Oryctolagus cuniculus: one gene and its partners. The protein of the gene in region 2 interacts with the protein of the main gene of each other region in a biochemical or structural test. Links are inferred from orthologs where the notes say so. Each region holds a gene or a part of one and is shown on either strand. Other genes may lie near its edges.

Region 1 (3,741 bases), on a different chromosome or scaffold from region 2:
GCACAACTAAGACTCAGGGTGGTGTCCGAAGCAGGGCTTGGGCGCGAGTCTCTCTCCCTTGGAGCTGCCTACCGGGGGCGTGAGAGTCACAGCCACCCCCAGACTCCGGGTCCCGGGCGCAGGGACAGCCGTCCCACGGAGACCTGACAAGGCTGAGCGCTCTCTCACACCTCGGCGAAACCGCCCATCTCCGCCTCACCCGGGGCACAGCTCCAGCCTCGCCGGCCAGTTTCCAGCTGAAATTTAATAACCTTGCTTTGTTTTCCTTGTACTTATTTTTACTCTTACCTTCTATTTATGGCAAGTGATACTGGCTTCCCATGTAAGGCAGAGATACGACGATTCTCTGAAAAATGTGCTGGGGCGGGGAGCGGGTCTCGGATGTAAAGCGTTAATAGGGGGCGCGTGGCCACCGCAGGCTCAGCCTGCCCGGGCTTAGGGAACGGCGAATGCCGGTCGGCGGGAGGCTCCGCCCCGGGCACACGGGCGGCCCCCGACAGCGCTGCGGGCGCAGACCTCCGTGCGGGCGCGCTGGGCCAAGGTGACTCCAGGCCCCTCGCGGTCCCACGTGCGCGGCCCATGTGTCAGCGCAGGGGTCCCTCCTGCTCGGTAGGGGCGGGTAGGTCGGGCACCTGGGGACTTCCGCAGGAGACGGGTTCGGGAGCCGGGGTGGGGGGGTGCGGGGTGGGCGCGGGCTGCAGACCACCCGCGGCCGGCCACCTGCGGCCAGAGCTGGCGTGCGTGCGACTGCGTGCGCAGACGTCAGCCTCCGAGGCCCGGGCCGCCTTCCGGCCCCCGCGCGCGCGTGCCCCGGCGCCTCGAGCCGCCCCCCAGCCGCCCCAGCCCCACGCGCCCGGGCACGCGGAGCCGCCGGACTGCGGCGCCCGGCGGGCGCGGGAGGGGCGGGGCAAGGCCGCGGGCTCCGCTCCCATTGGACAGGGGCTCCGGGCGGGGGCGGGGCTCGGGGCGAAGGCGGGCGAGCGCGCGAGCGCGGGGCAGACGCGGACGCCGGGCCGGGCTGCTCGCCGGGGGCCGCGGGCGCGGGGTGGGCGACGCTCGCCCGGGACCGCCCGCGGGAGTCAGCGCTCCGGCCGCTTTCTGGAGGCACCGCGAGCTCGCCCTGCCGGAGGAGGGGGCGTCCGCCTGCGGGGAGTCGGGGGCCGCGCAGAAAGTTCTCCTCCGCGGGAGGGCGCGGGGAGGAGGCGGGCTAAGGCGAACTTGGGGCGGCGTTCACGGCCCCCTCCCACACACGCGAGCGGAGCTGAGCGCCCTGCTCCTCCGTCAGCTGCTGGCGTCGCCTCGCGGGGAGAGCTGCGGCGCTGCGGGCTGGCGCGGAGGCCCGAGCGACCCCGTGGGAGCGGGCGGAGAGGGTAGCACGGGCGGCCAGGGCAGGCTCACGCGCCCGGGACACGCACGCATCCACGGTCACTTCCAGAGGACACCCCCGAGCCCCGGGTCTCTAGGGGTAGCTCCTTGATCCCCAGAGTCGCCCTGAGCTCGCCCGCCCGCCCGGGAGCCCCAGGCGGGGACCCTCTCCCCATCGCCCCCCGCATCGCGCGTCTCCAAGCCTCCGGGCACCTGGCTCAGCAGGAGGCCCCCGGGTCGGGGCAGGGCAGGGCCGGCAGTGGCGAGCCGGAGCCCGCCCAGCGCCCGAGCCCCGCCGACCCCTCGGAGCCCACCCATGGGGCCCCAGCTCCGCGCGCCCCCTCGCCCGGCCGCGCCGCGCCGGGCACCCCGAGCCGCGCAGAGGAGGAGCCCCGCTCAGTGACCCGGGAGCCGCGGCAGCCACAGGGAGGCTCGGCGGCGGCGGCGGCCGGAACGGCAGGCGGTTCCCCACACCTCCAGGCGCTTCCTGGCAGCCCTCCGCGCCGTGCCAAAGGCCTGGCCCGCCAGGTAGGAGAGAGACGGGCAGCAGCCTCGGGGAGTGGGGTCGAAGTGGGGCGGCCCGGGGGGGCGGGGAGGGTCGGGACCGAGGAAGGCTGGGCGCTCCTTGACAAGCCAGGGGGAGAGCTGGTTTGGGTGAGCACCTACTATGTGCCAGGGTCCATAGCAACTTTACTTAGCTAGGAAGAACTGAATTCTTCGGGGTGTGGGTTGGGCGGGGGCTGCACCCTTTCCAGGAAGGGGAGCCTGACCCAGCGTGCTACGAGACTCTCAAAAACACTGCCAGGACTCCTGGAGCCAGCAGCAGCCTGCACAATTGCGTGTGGGTGGGTGGGGGGTGTCTGTGATAGGCCCTGGGCTGGCCGGGACCCCCTCTGAGGACAGCAGGCCAGGGAGCCCCTTCCTTACCCGTAGCCCCTCCAGCTTTCTCTGGGTCGCCAAAGACAGATGTCCCCTGCCTGGGAAGAGTTTCCAGGGCTCAGTGGCCCCGAGGGACCCCACACGCCTCTGGCCAGAGCAAGAATGTTGTCCGGGACCTCTTGCGGGTGGGGGGTGGGGTGGGGGGAGATGCGGGCTTCTCCTGGGGTGGGAGTGACCAGGTGGGGGTCCTTTCACGCCTCTGCCTGCACCCAGCTCAGACTGCTGGCATTAAGTGCCACAAAGAAAGGAACCCGGGGCTTGAGGCCTGCTGTGTGTGCCCTTTGGCTGTACCGGCCTCTGGCCAGGCTGTGGGTTTGGCCCCCCATTTAATGGAGAAACAGCCTGAGCCCCAGGAGGCCGAGTCATTGGCCAGGTCGGGGAGAGGCAGAGCTGGGCTGTGGAGAGCCGTGGCTGCCTCCCTGCTGCTGTCCTGATCCAGGGCCCAGGGGGTTGGCTGGGGGTGGGCGGAGCTGCGGCCAGGGTCTGCAGTGGGGGGGGGGAGCAGAGGGGCTGGGGGAGGGCGAGTGCAGTGAAGCCGGCTGTGGGGTGCCCACCGAGAGGACACGGGCGTCCCCACCCTCAGCCTGCTGTCCCTGCCTGTGTGACCCCCCTCTTCCAGGCAAGCCTTGGGGGAGAGGGGTGCGAGGGAGGAGTGAACCAGCAGGTGTACTTACAGGGTCTGCAGGTGAGCCAGGGGGGTGGGGGGAGTGAGGTGGTAATGTGCCTCCGGGGTCACTCCCGCTGCCACCAGCCGAGGCTTCACTCCACTGCACACTGTTCTCCTAAGGACTCTGGTTTGGGCCAGGGGTGGGTTCTCATAGCGATCAGAGCTCAGCCAGGAGCCCAGCAGCCTGGTGGTTTCCCTGCCCAGCCAGCCGGCTGCTGTGTGCAGCAGGGCAGGCGACTCAGCCTCCCTGCCCATCAGCATCCCGTCAGTCCAGTGGGAGGGGAGCAGTGCGTCCCCGACGGGACTGCTGGGAAGTGGGAACAAGGCAGGGTCAGTCGCCTGCCTGGCCAGGGTCACTATTCCCCTGGACCTCCCCCCGCCCCGCCCCGGTGTCTGTGCCCCCGGCTGCCCTCATGCTGCTGCTGTGGGCTCAGCGGTCATATCAGTGCCTCTGGCTCCCACGCTGCTGGTGGTCACTGGTGACTCTCAGGTCTCCCAAAAGACCCTTTAAACTGAGTCCTGGCTGTGCCTTCCTGGGGTCAGCCCGGCCCAGGGTGGAGAGTGGGGAGCAGGCAGCGGAGGAGAGACGTTGTGCCACGCCCATCAGTGCCCACCTGCCTCCTCCCGCTGAGGAGAAAGAACAGTGTGGGGGCGGGAGGCGGAGCCCACGGGGGCCCTGTCACCTGGCATCCAGGTGTCAGTGCCTCACACGGCCCCACGTGGCCGGGGCCACGTGAAGACTCAGTGTTATCTCTGAGGACGCAGCCTTG
Region 2 (3,741 bases):
ACTATAAAGGAGGAGAGAGACAACATGCACCAAGAACATCTATCTGAAGGAACACCTGTGCAGCCCCCGAGAGAGCCGGCCAGCGGTGTGCCGCTCCCCCGTGAGCGGCGGAAGTGGGGAAAGTGGCAGGGGGAACCGCCCTTCCACGGAGGTGAAAGGGTCGGTAGCCAACTTGGGAAGAACCAGCAGCAAACCCGGGGAGGGCCGAGCAGACAAAAGAACAGCGCAGGGTCCTGTGTCATTCCTCCGTGAAGAGGGGGAGCGACAGCCGCCGCCTGCATATGGGCACTGGTTCTAATCCTGGCTGCTCTACTTCCAATCCAGCTCTCTGCTATGGCCTGGAAAGCAGTAGAAGATGGCCCAAGTCCTTGGGCCCCTGCACCCATGTGGAAGACCCAGAGGAAGCTGCTGGCTCCTGGCTTTAGAACTGCGGAGTGAACCAGTGGATGGAAGACCTCTGTGTCTCTTTCTGCCTCTCCTTATTCACTCTCACCATTTTATTTTTGATTTGTGAGGCGGAGTGAGTGAGCCTGAGCATTCACTAGCTCTCAGGTCTGCTGATTGACTTCTCTGAATCTTAATACAGGGCCTGGGCCGGGTTGAACTGGGAGCTGGATGTCAGTCCAGGTCTCCATGTGGGTGGCAGGAACTCAGTTACTTGAGCCCATCATCACTGTCTCTCAGGGTTTGAGTTAGTAGAAAGGTGCAGTCAGTAGTTGGAGTTGGGATTCAGATGCAGACATCTTAACTGCTGGCCCACGTGCTTGCCCTGGGATCAGCCTTTCTGAAGCTCTGACTTAGCTCTGACTTAGGATTGTCAGCAAAATTATCAATGCGAGTAGAAGGGAAATACCCTCTGTCTTTCATAATTTAAAAAGTTAAAACTCCATGATGCTTTTCTCAGATTTTTTGAAAATTATGAAAGTGTGACAGAGAACATGTGCATGTGCCTGGCAATGATTGTCCCCCAACTCCCTCCTTGGGCTCCCCAGTCTGCTGGTTCATTCACCAAATGCTCTCAGTGGCTGGGGCAGGGCTGTCTGAAAGCGAACTCTCGCTCATGGGTGGTGGGAACTCATCTCTGCCTCCCATGGTTTGCATTAATAGGAAACTGGAGTCAGGAGCCAGAGCCAGGCATAGAACCCAAGGGACAAGGGGACCTTAACCCACCTTTCAGGGAATTTATTAAATGAATAAGTCGAAAGAAAGGAATACTTGGGATATAGGAAACAGGACATCCAATACAGGAAAGAAGTGAAGGAAATCCCCGGAAGGCCAGTGGAAGTCAATTCCTATACAGGTATACAATTGGGCACAAGAATCCTCAGGGCTGGCACTGTGGCATATTGGGTTAAAGCCCTGGCTTGAAGTGCCGGCATCCCATATGGGCGCTGGTTCTAGTCCCGGCTGCTCCATTTCTGATTCAGCTCTCTGCTATGGCCTGGGAAAGCAGTAGAAGATGGCCCAAGTCCTTGGGCCCCTGCACCCATGTGGGGGACCCAGAGGCAGCTCCTGGCTCCTGACTTCAGATTGGCGCAGCTCTGGCCATTATGGCCATCTGGGGAGTGAACCAACGGATGGAAGATCTCTCTTTTTGTCTCTGCCTCTCTCTCTCTGTAACTCTTTCAAATAAGTAAAATCTTAAAAAAAAAAAAAAAAAAAGAATCCTGAACACATCCAGGCATTCCCCCTGCCTGGATGTGTTTGGTTTGTTTTTTTTTTTTTTGTTTTTGTTTTTGTTTTTTACTTTGGAAATTTATATTTATTAAATGAAAGTTGAAAAAAATTATAAATGACATTCAAAAACATTTAAAAAATAAAAAGATGTGGATCCCCACAGACTTTGCGAGGTACTCGGGACAGAGTGTATCATCGCAGCCCCCTTCCAGCGCACACGTCAGTGGCGGTAAGTACATCCACACGGTCCCTGCCGTTACCACCATCTCCAGGCCTGGTCTGTGTCCCAAACCGAAACTCTGCTCCTGAACCAGGAAGTCCCCGTTCCTCTCTGCAGTCCCTTTGTGTGTCTGCATTTGACTGCTCTGAGTCCCTCACAGACGTGCAGTCACACACTGACTCTTGTGTCTGGCTTACTTCACTTAGCATGATCTCTTCAGTGTTCGTCCGTTTTGTAGCAAGCGTCAGAATTTCATTCCTTCTTACGGCTAAATTCCATTCTAAGTATATAGTACTTTTTTTTTTTTAAATCCATTGATGGACCCTTTCTTGGAATCTCAACAATATTCACCTAAAGGATGGCCTTTTCTTGAGTGAGAGGAAATGGACCATAACTTAAAAATATTACATGATGATAGTCCCTTTAAGTATACTCCCTTCCTTGTGGAGGCGGTATAGAGACTTATGCTGAGTCTTGAGATAGTCCAAGTGATTGGAAATGTGAATAAAACAGTCTGGTAGCATAGTGTTTCCCAAAGCATGGGACATGTATTACTGATATTTACAAAATGATTTTAGGGGATATTTTGGGAGCATGACAGAAACTAACTGAATCAATCTGATAAGGATTTAAAGGAGAAAGACTCAGTTTTCTGCTAACATTTTGTTTTACTTTAGTTTTATTAATTTATTTGAAAGGCAGAGTTAGTTAGAGAGCATTGTTGTCATAGGCCATGTTGGTTCCATGCATATTATTGCCCTGGAAGACGTGCCAGTGGGCAAAATGTGGAGGTAGTGTCGCTCCCCGTCTTCGTGGAGGAACGACACAGGACCCTGCGCTGTTCTTTTGTCTGCTCGGCCCTCCCCGGGTTTGCTGCTGGTTCTTCCTGGGTTGGCTGCCGTCCCTTCCACCTCCGTGGAAGGGCGGTTCCCCCTGGCCACTTTCCCCACTTCCGCAGGGGAGCGGCACACCGCCGGCCGGCTGGCTCTCTCGGGGGCTGCACAGGTGTTCCTTCAGATAGATGTTCTTGGTGCATGTTGTCTCTCTCCTCCTTTATAGTCCTCTTCCGCCAATCCCAACTCGGCTGCCCACACGCCGAGTACGCTGCTCTCCTCCAATCAGGAGCAGGATCAGCTCCTGGAGGTCATCACTCAAGTTGGCCAGAGGCAGCTGCGTAGAAGCTGTTTTCTCCTCTCCCAGCGCCATATTGTGGGAGAGCAGATGCATAGAACAAGTCTTAATTCCAGTAACTCAGTCTAGTCCGAGTTGCTCCCAGTTGCTCCCCACAGGTAGAAGATAGGGCCATTGATGATCCTGACCCTTTGTGTCTTTGGTTGTTGTTTTTTAAGATTTATTTATTTCTTTGAAAGCCAAAGTGACATAAAGAAACAGTAGACAGGAGGAGAGGGAGAAAGGGTTGGTCGGTTGGGTGAGAGGTAAGAGATAATTCCCATCCCCTGGCTCATGCTTTGAATGGCCACAGTAGTCAGGTTTGGGTAAGGCTGTAGCCATGGACTATGTGCTTGTCTTTCACAAGGGTGACGGTAGCCCAAGCACTTCTTGTGCTGCCTCTCAGGTATATTAACAGGAAGCTGGATCAGAAGTGGAGTAGCGGGGACTTAAACCAGCAGTTTGATGCTGGCATCACAAGCAGCAGATTAACTCTGTGCCACAACCCTGATCCCTGTATCTTGGTTTTTAATAAAAAGTTCAAAATGTAAAAGCAAAATTTTCTAATTTAAAATAGATCGAACGTTTAGAGAGGCTTGTGTTGTGGTGTGGTAGGTTAAGCTGCTGTCTGCAATGCTGGCATCCCGTGTGGGTGCCAACTGGACAGTGCCAGT
Region 3 (3,741 bases), on a different chromosome or scaffold from region 2:
GGGGATTGGACCAGCAGAATAAAGACTTCTCCCTCTGTCTCTCTGTAATTCTGCTTCTCAAATAAGCTCAAAAAAAGAAAAGAAAGAAACCAGGTAGACTAAGTGCTCATCACTGTAAGCTCGTTCTTCCGAGACTCCTATCTTTGGTCAGCACTATGTATCTGATCAGACAGCACTCAAGAGCCAACACCTGCCACAGACCCTCTCTTCCAAACGCACACAAGGAAACACGGAGAACACAGAAAAGCAAGAAGATGCCTCAGGCTGCTGATAAAGTTTAGATCACAGGACCATACTGGCATTTGGAAAGCGGACTGCGGAGCGCCTTTCCGGCTGCAGCTGTTAGGGCTGTCACCTGCTATTTCCATCTGTGCGTCCAGACCTCTGATGTGGGACTGCGGGCTAGGCATATCCACACAGCTCATCCACCTCTGATTCCCGCCCACCGCCGAATCTCCGGACTCCCCCCGGAGAGACGGTAAAGGGATGAGTAAGCATGCTGTAGCCGATCTGGGTCAAAGCGAACAGACCCTGGCACGGGCGGTGGAAAGTGGGGGTGAGGCAGCGAGAGAGACGCACAGCCGGGGAGTTCCTCTGCCGAGCGCCGGCAGCCACGGTTCCCTCCAGCGGCCACCACCAGAGCCGCCAAACGCTGGCTTTCCCCTCCGCCCCGCAGCGTGCTCAGGTGCACACTGTCTTTCGACAGTTACTTTTTAAAAAAAACCAGCAGGACAACATAAACGTATTTTCTCCAGGTATCGGCTTGTCTGAGACAACAAAGCCGCCCCCAAGTTCAACGGCTCTGTTTTTTTCCCAGTATGACACTCAGGGCACCAACCCCCGACTCCCTCTACCCAGCAAAGCAGCGACTGCCAGAAACAGTTTCAAATGTATGCCGACCTCCTAAGAAAAAAAAAAAAAAAAGAGAAGACTTCCGAATCACTCCAACAGCCTGAATACAGGCACCTGACCTTATTATTTTTTTTTTTCCCCTAAGAAAAATAGGGCACCGAGAGACGAGAAAATTTTCTCTCCTTTCCTATTTTGGCCGCCAAGAGTATCTGGAGCACTTTTGGTCTCTTTGGGGGCTTTTCTAGGTTTCTTTGGTAGGGAACTTGCCCTCAGTAACCAAACTCTAACCTGGGGGGGGGGGGAGGTGTGTGTGGTGTGTATGTGTGTGTTTCAGGCTGAACTTCACAGATTTAAAGGACCCAAGGTGCCGTTTTCTTTGTCAAAATCCCACGGACTTCACTGGAGGCCGGGGTGGCGGAAGGCGGCAGCCGGGATCACGAGCGCCGGCGGCCGAAGGTAGAGGGAGGCAGGTGCGAGTCCCACCTGCTGGGAGCGCCCGGCAGGGCGGCAAGCGACTCCCACCGCCGCCAAACGCGCCCTCGGCAAACCTAGGGCTCCTCCGCGCCCGGTGGCCCCACGTGCCCCGCCGCCACCTGCCCGCCCCGGCCCCGCAGGGCGCGGGTTCCCGCATCGCCCGGTCCGGCGCGGTCGCCGCCGCCCCGACCGCCGCCACCTCTGCTCAAAATGGTGGTTACGAAACGCGGCCCCCCTCCCGCCCGGCCCACGGCCGCGCCGGCTCCACAAACTTCGTCGGCGCGGCCGCATCCCCGCAACCCAGCCGAGGTAGAGGCCCCGGCGGCGCGAGGAGGCCGCGCGGCGCCGGCCACTCACCCACAGACCGGTAGCCCAGGATCGCGATCTTCCGGGACTTGGACTGCGGCATCTTGGCGGCCTCCTCAGCCCCGGCCCAACCACATCAACCGCGGCGGCGACGGCTGCTGCTGCTGCTGCTGCGATCGGCGGCGGCCGCGCCGGGGGACAGCGGCATACAGGGCAGGGGCGGCGGCGGGCGCGGCTGCTCTCTCTCGCTCGCTCGCTCGCTCGCTCGCGCGCTCCAACCGCCCGGAACCGACCGCGCGACGGCGCCCCTCCCCCCACAACACGGCCACGTGACCGCCCCGCCGCGGCCGCCCCCTCCGCCAGGGCCCGCGTCAGCGCCGCTCCTCCCGCCGCCGCCGCGGCTCGCCGCCTCCGCCCCCTGTAAAGGCGCGGAGGATGCGTCGGGGCAACGTTCTACTTTAAAGGGAAAAAACGGGGACGCCGAAATGCTCCCGGAAAAGTCAAGACTGAAACTCGCTGCGTCATGACCCTCCCACCTCCTTCCGCCGCTTTTTAATTACGCCAATTCTCTCCGGACGCTGATTGGACAGTTCCTGCCCGCCCGCGCGATGACGCGACGGAAACTCCGTCTCCCATTGGGGACGACGAGGAGGCGGGGCCAGAGGCGGGGCTACTCGCCGGGAGGCTAAAAATACACCCGGCTCCTCCGCAGCGCCTGGGCGCCGGCGGGGTTTGAAGGCTTCGAACTTGCAACGGGTGGGAAGTGGGCGGGAGAGGCGGAGAGAGAGCGCGCGAGCGAGCGAAGATGCTCCGCAGCTATTGGCCCGAGAGGAGCGCGGGGCGGGGCTAGCGGCGGGAGGCGCGGGGATTGGAGGAACGTCGAGCAGTTGGCTGACTGGCTCTCGCGGAGCCCTTAAAAGGTTCGAGGCGCGTGGCCATGGCGGGCTGGCTGTGGGTTGACCGGCTCCCCCCTCTTTTTTTTTTTTTTTTTTTTTTTTTTGGTACAGTCTCTCACCGCTTTGGCGTTCCCAGGTCTAGGTTTGAGGATGTAGGTGGTGACTAAGCGTCGCCCGAGGCTTAGAGACTGTGGGCTGAAGGGAAGCTGCATGAATTCCGAGATGTCAGGAATTTCATTAAAAACGGCGCGAGCCTCTGCAGCTGTGGTGTGAAGCCCTGTGACGGGCGGGCCCGGTGCGGGAATCCTGCGGTAACAACCAACGCCAGACCCTCGCGCTGCTCGTCCACGAGGCCGTTCTCGGGGAAGGGGCCGGGGTGGGCGTTGGGGGGGCGCAGGCTGTCGCGGACAGACCCCCTTTTGCAGGGTGTCTGTGAAGAGCCGCGGCCGCCCCGCGGAGCGCAGGAAGGCGAACCAGCCCGGGAAAGGCGGGCCTGAGAAAATGAAGATGCCGTTGGGAGACTCCCCAGCCATGGCAGACAGCGTTGAACGCGGTGGTGGCCGAATAAGCAGTTCCACTGCTGCCGCTCCTGCGAATCTGCCCCTGGTGTGCGGCCCGGGCTGACGACAGCTGCCCTCGCGCCGCCCCCTCCCCCACGAGTGGGGCGGGGACCCCCGGGGGCCGGCCTTGGGTTGCGGAGTGTGGAGATTCAGAGCGCTTGTTGTATAGCTGCACCTGGTCGAATTGCAACCCTGCCCTAAGCGTTCCGGCTTACCCACCGAAACCCTCCTAGCAAAGGGGAGAGGTGTACGTTTGTATCCTCAGGGTTCTGCAGATTGAAGTCGCAGACAACCAGCTGGAAGCCATCTTTAAAACTCTATAGTTTGTCTCAGCGAAGAATTGCCTTCTCTATAATTTATTTAAAGATTATTATTTTAAAATTTTTATTGTCACTTATTAGAGAGAAAGAGATAGCTTCTGTCTACTGGTTGACTCACCAAATAACTACAACAACTAGAGCTGGGCCAGGCCATACTCAAGAGCACAGAACTCAATCCTGATTTTCCCACGTGGTTGGCAGATACCCAAGTACTTGAGCCATCACCTGCTTCCTCCCAGAGTGCGTTAGCAGGAAGCTGGTTCAGAAATACAAGAGTCGGGGCAAGCACTCCAATGTGAGGTTCAGGCATCTTAACCATGAATCAGACACTTG

What was found.
Region 1: the proteins of RAF1 (region 2) and RASD2 form a complex in vitro, tested with the Homo sapiens proteins (2 studies listed by BioGRID). The link is inferred for Oryctolagus cuniculus from reciprocal best matches to the Homo sapiens genes RAF1 and RASD2.
Region 3: the proteins of RAF1 (region 2) and RHEB form a complex in vitro, tested with the Homo sapiens proteins (3 studies listed by BioGRID and IntAct). The link is inferred for Oryctolagus cuniculus from reciprocal best matches to the Homo sapiens genes RAF1 and RHEB.

What each region holds. Positions count from the first base shown.
Region 1 is NC_091442.1:113,063,654-113,067,394, forward strand, and holds the start of RASD2 (GTP-binding protein Rhes), read left to right. Parts: upstream 1-1,028; 5' UTR 1,029-1,893; intron 1,894-3,741. UniProt on the Homo sapiens protein: GTPase signaling protein that binds to and hydrolyzes GTP. Regulates signaling pathways involving G-proteins-coupled receptor and heterotrimeric proteins such as GNB1, GNB2 and GNB3.
Region 2 is NC_091441.1:114,625,108-114,628,848, forward strand, and holds the start of RAF1 (RAF proto-oncogene serine/threonine-protein kinase), read left to right. Parts: upstream 1-1,389; 5' UTR 1,390-1,824; coding exon 1,825-1,906; intron 1,907-3,741. UniProt on the Homo sapiens protein: Serine/threonine-protein kinase that acts as a regulatory link between the membrane-associated Ras GTPases and the MAPK/ERK cascade, and this critical regulatory link functions as a switch determining cell fate decisions including proliferation, differentiation, apoptosis, survival and oncogenic transformation.
Region 3 is NC_091438.1:22,310,750-22,314,490, reverse strand, and holds the start of RHEB (GTP-binding protein Rheb), read right to left. Parts: upstream 2,200-3,741; 5' UTR 1,736-2,199; coding exon 1,684-1,735; intron 1-1,683. UniProt on the Homo sapiens protein: Small GTPase that acts as an allosteric activator of the canonical mTORC1 complex, an evolutionarily conserved central nutrient sensor that stimulates anabolic reactions and macromolecule biosynthesis to promote cellular biomass generation and growth.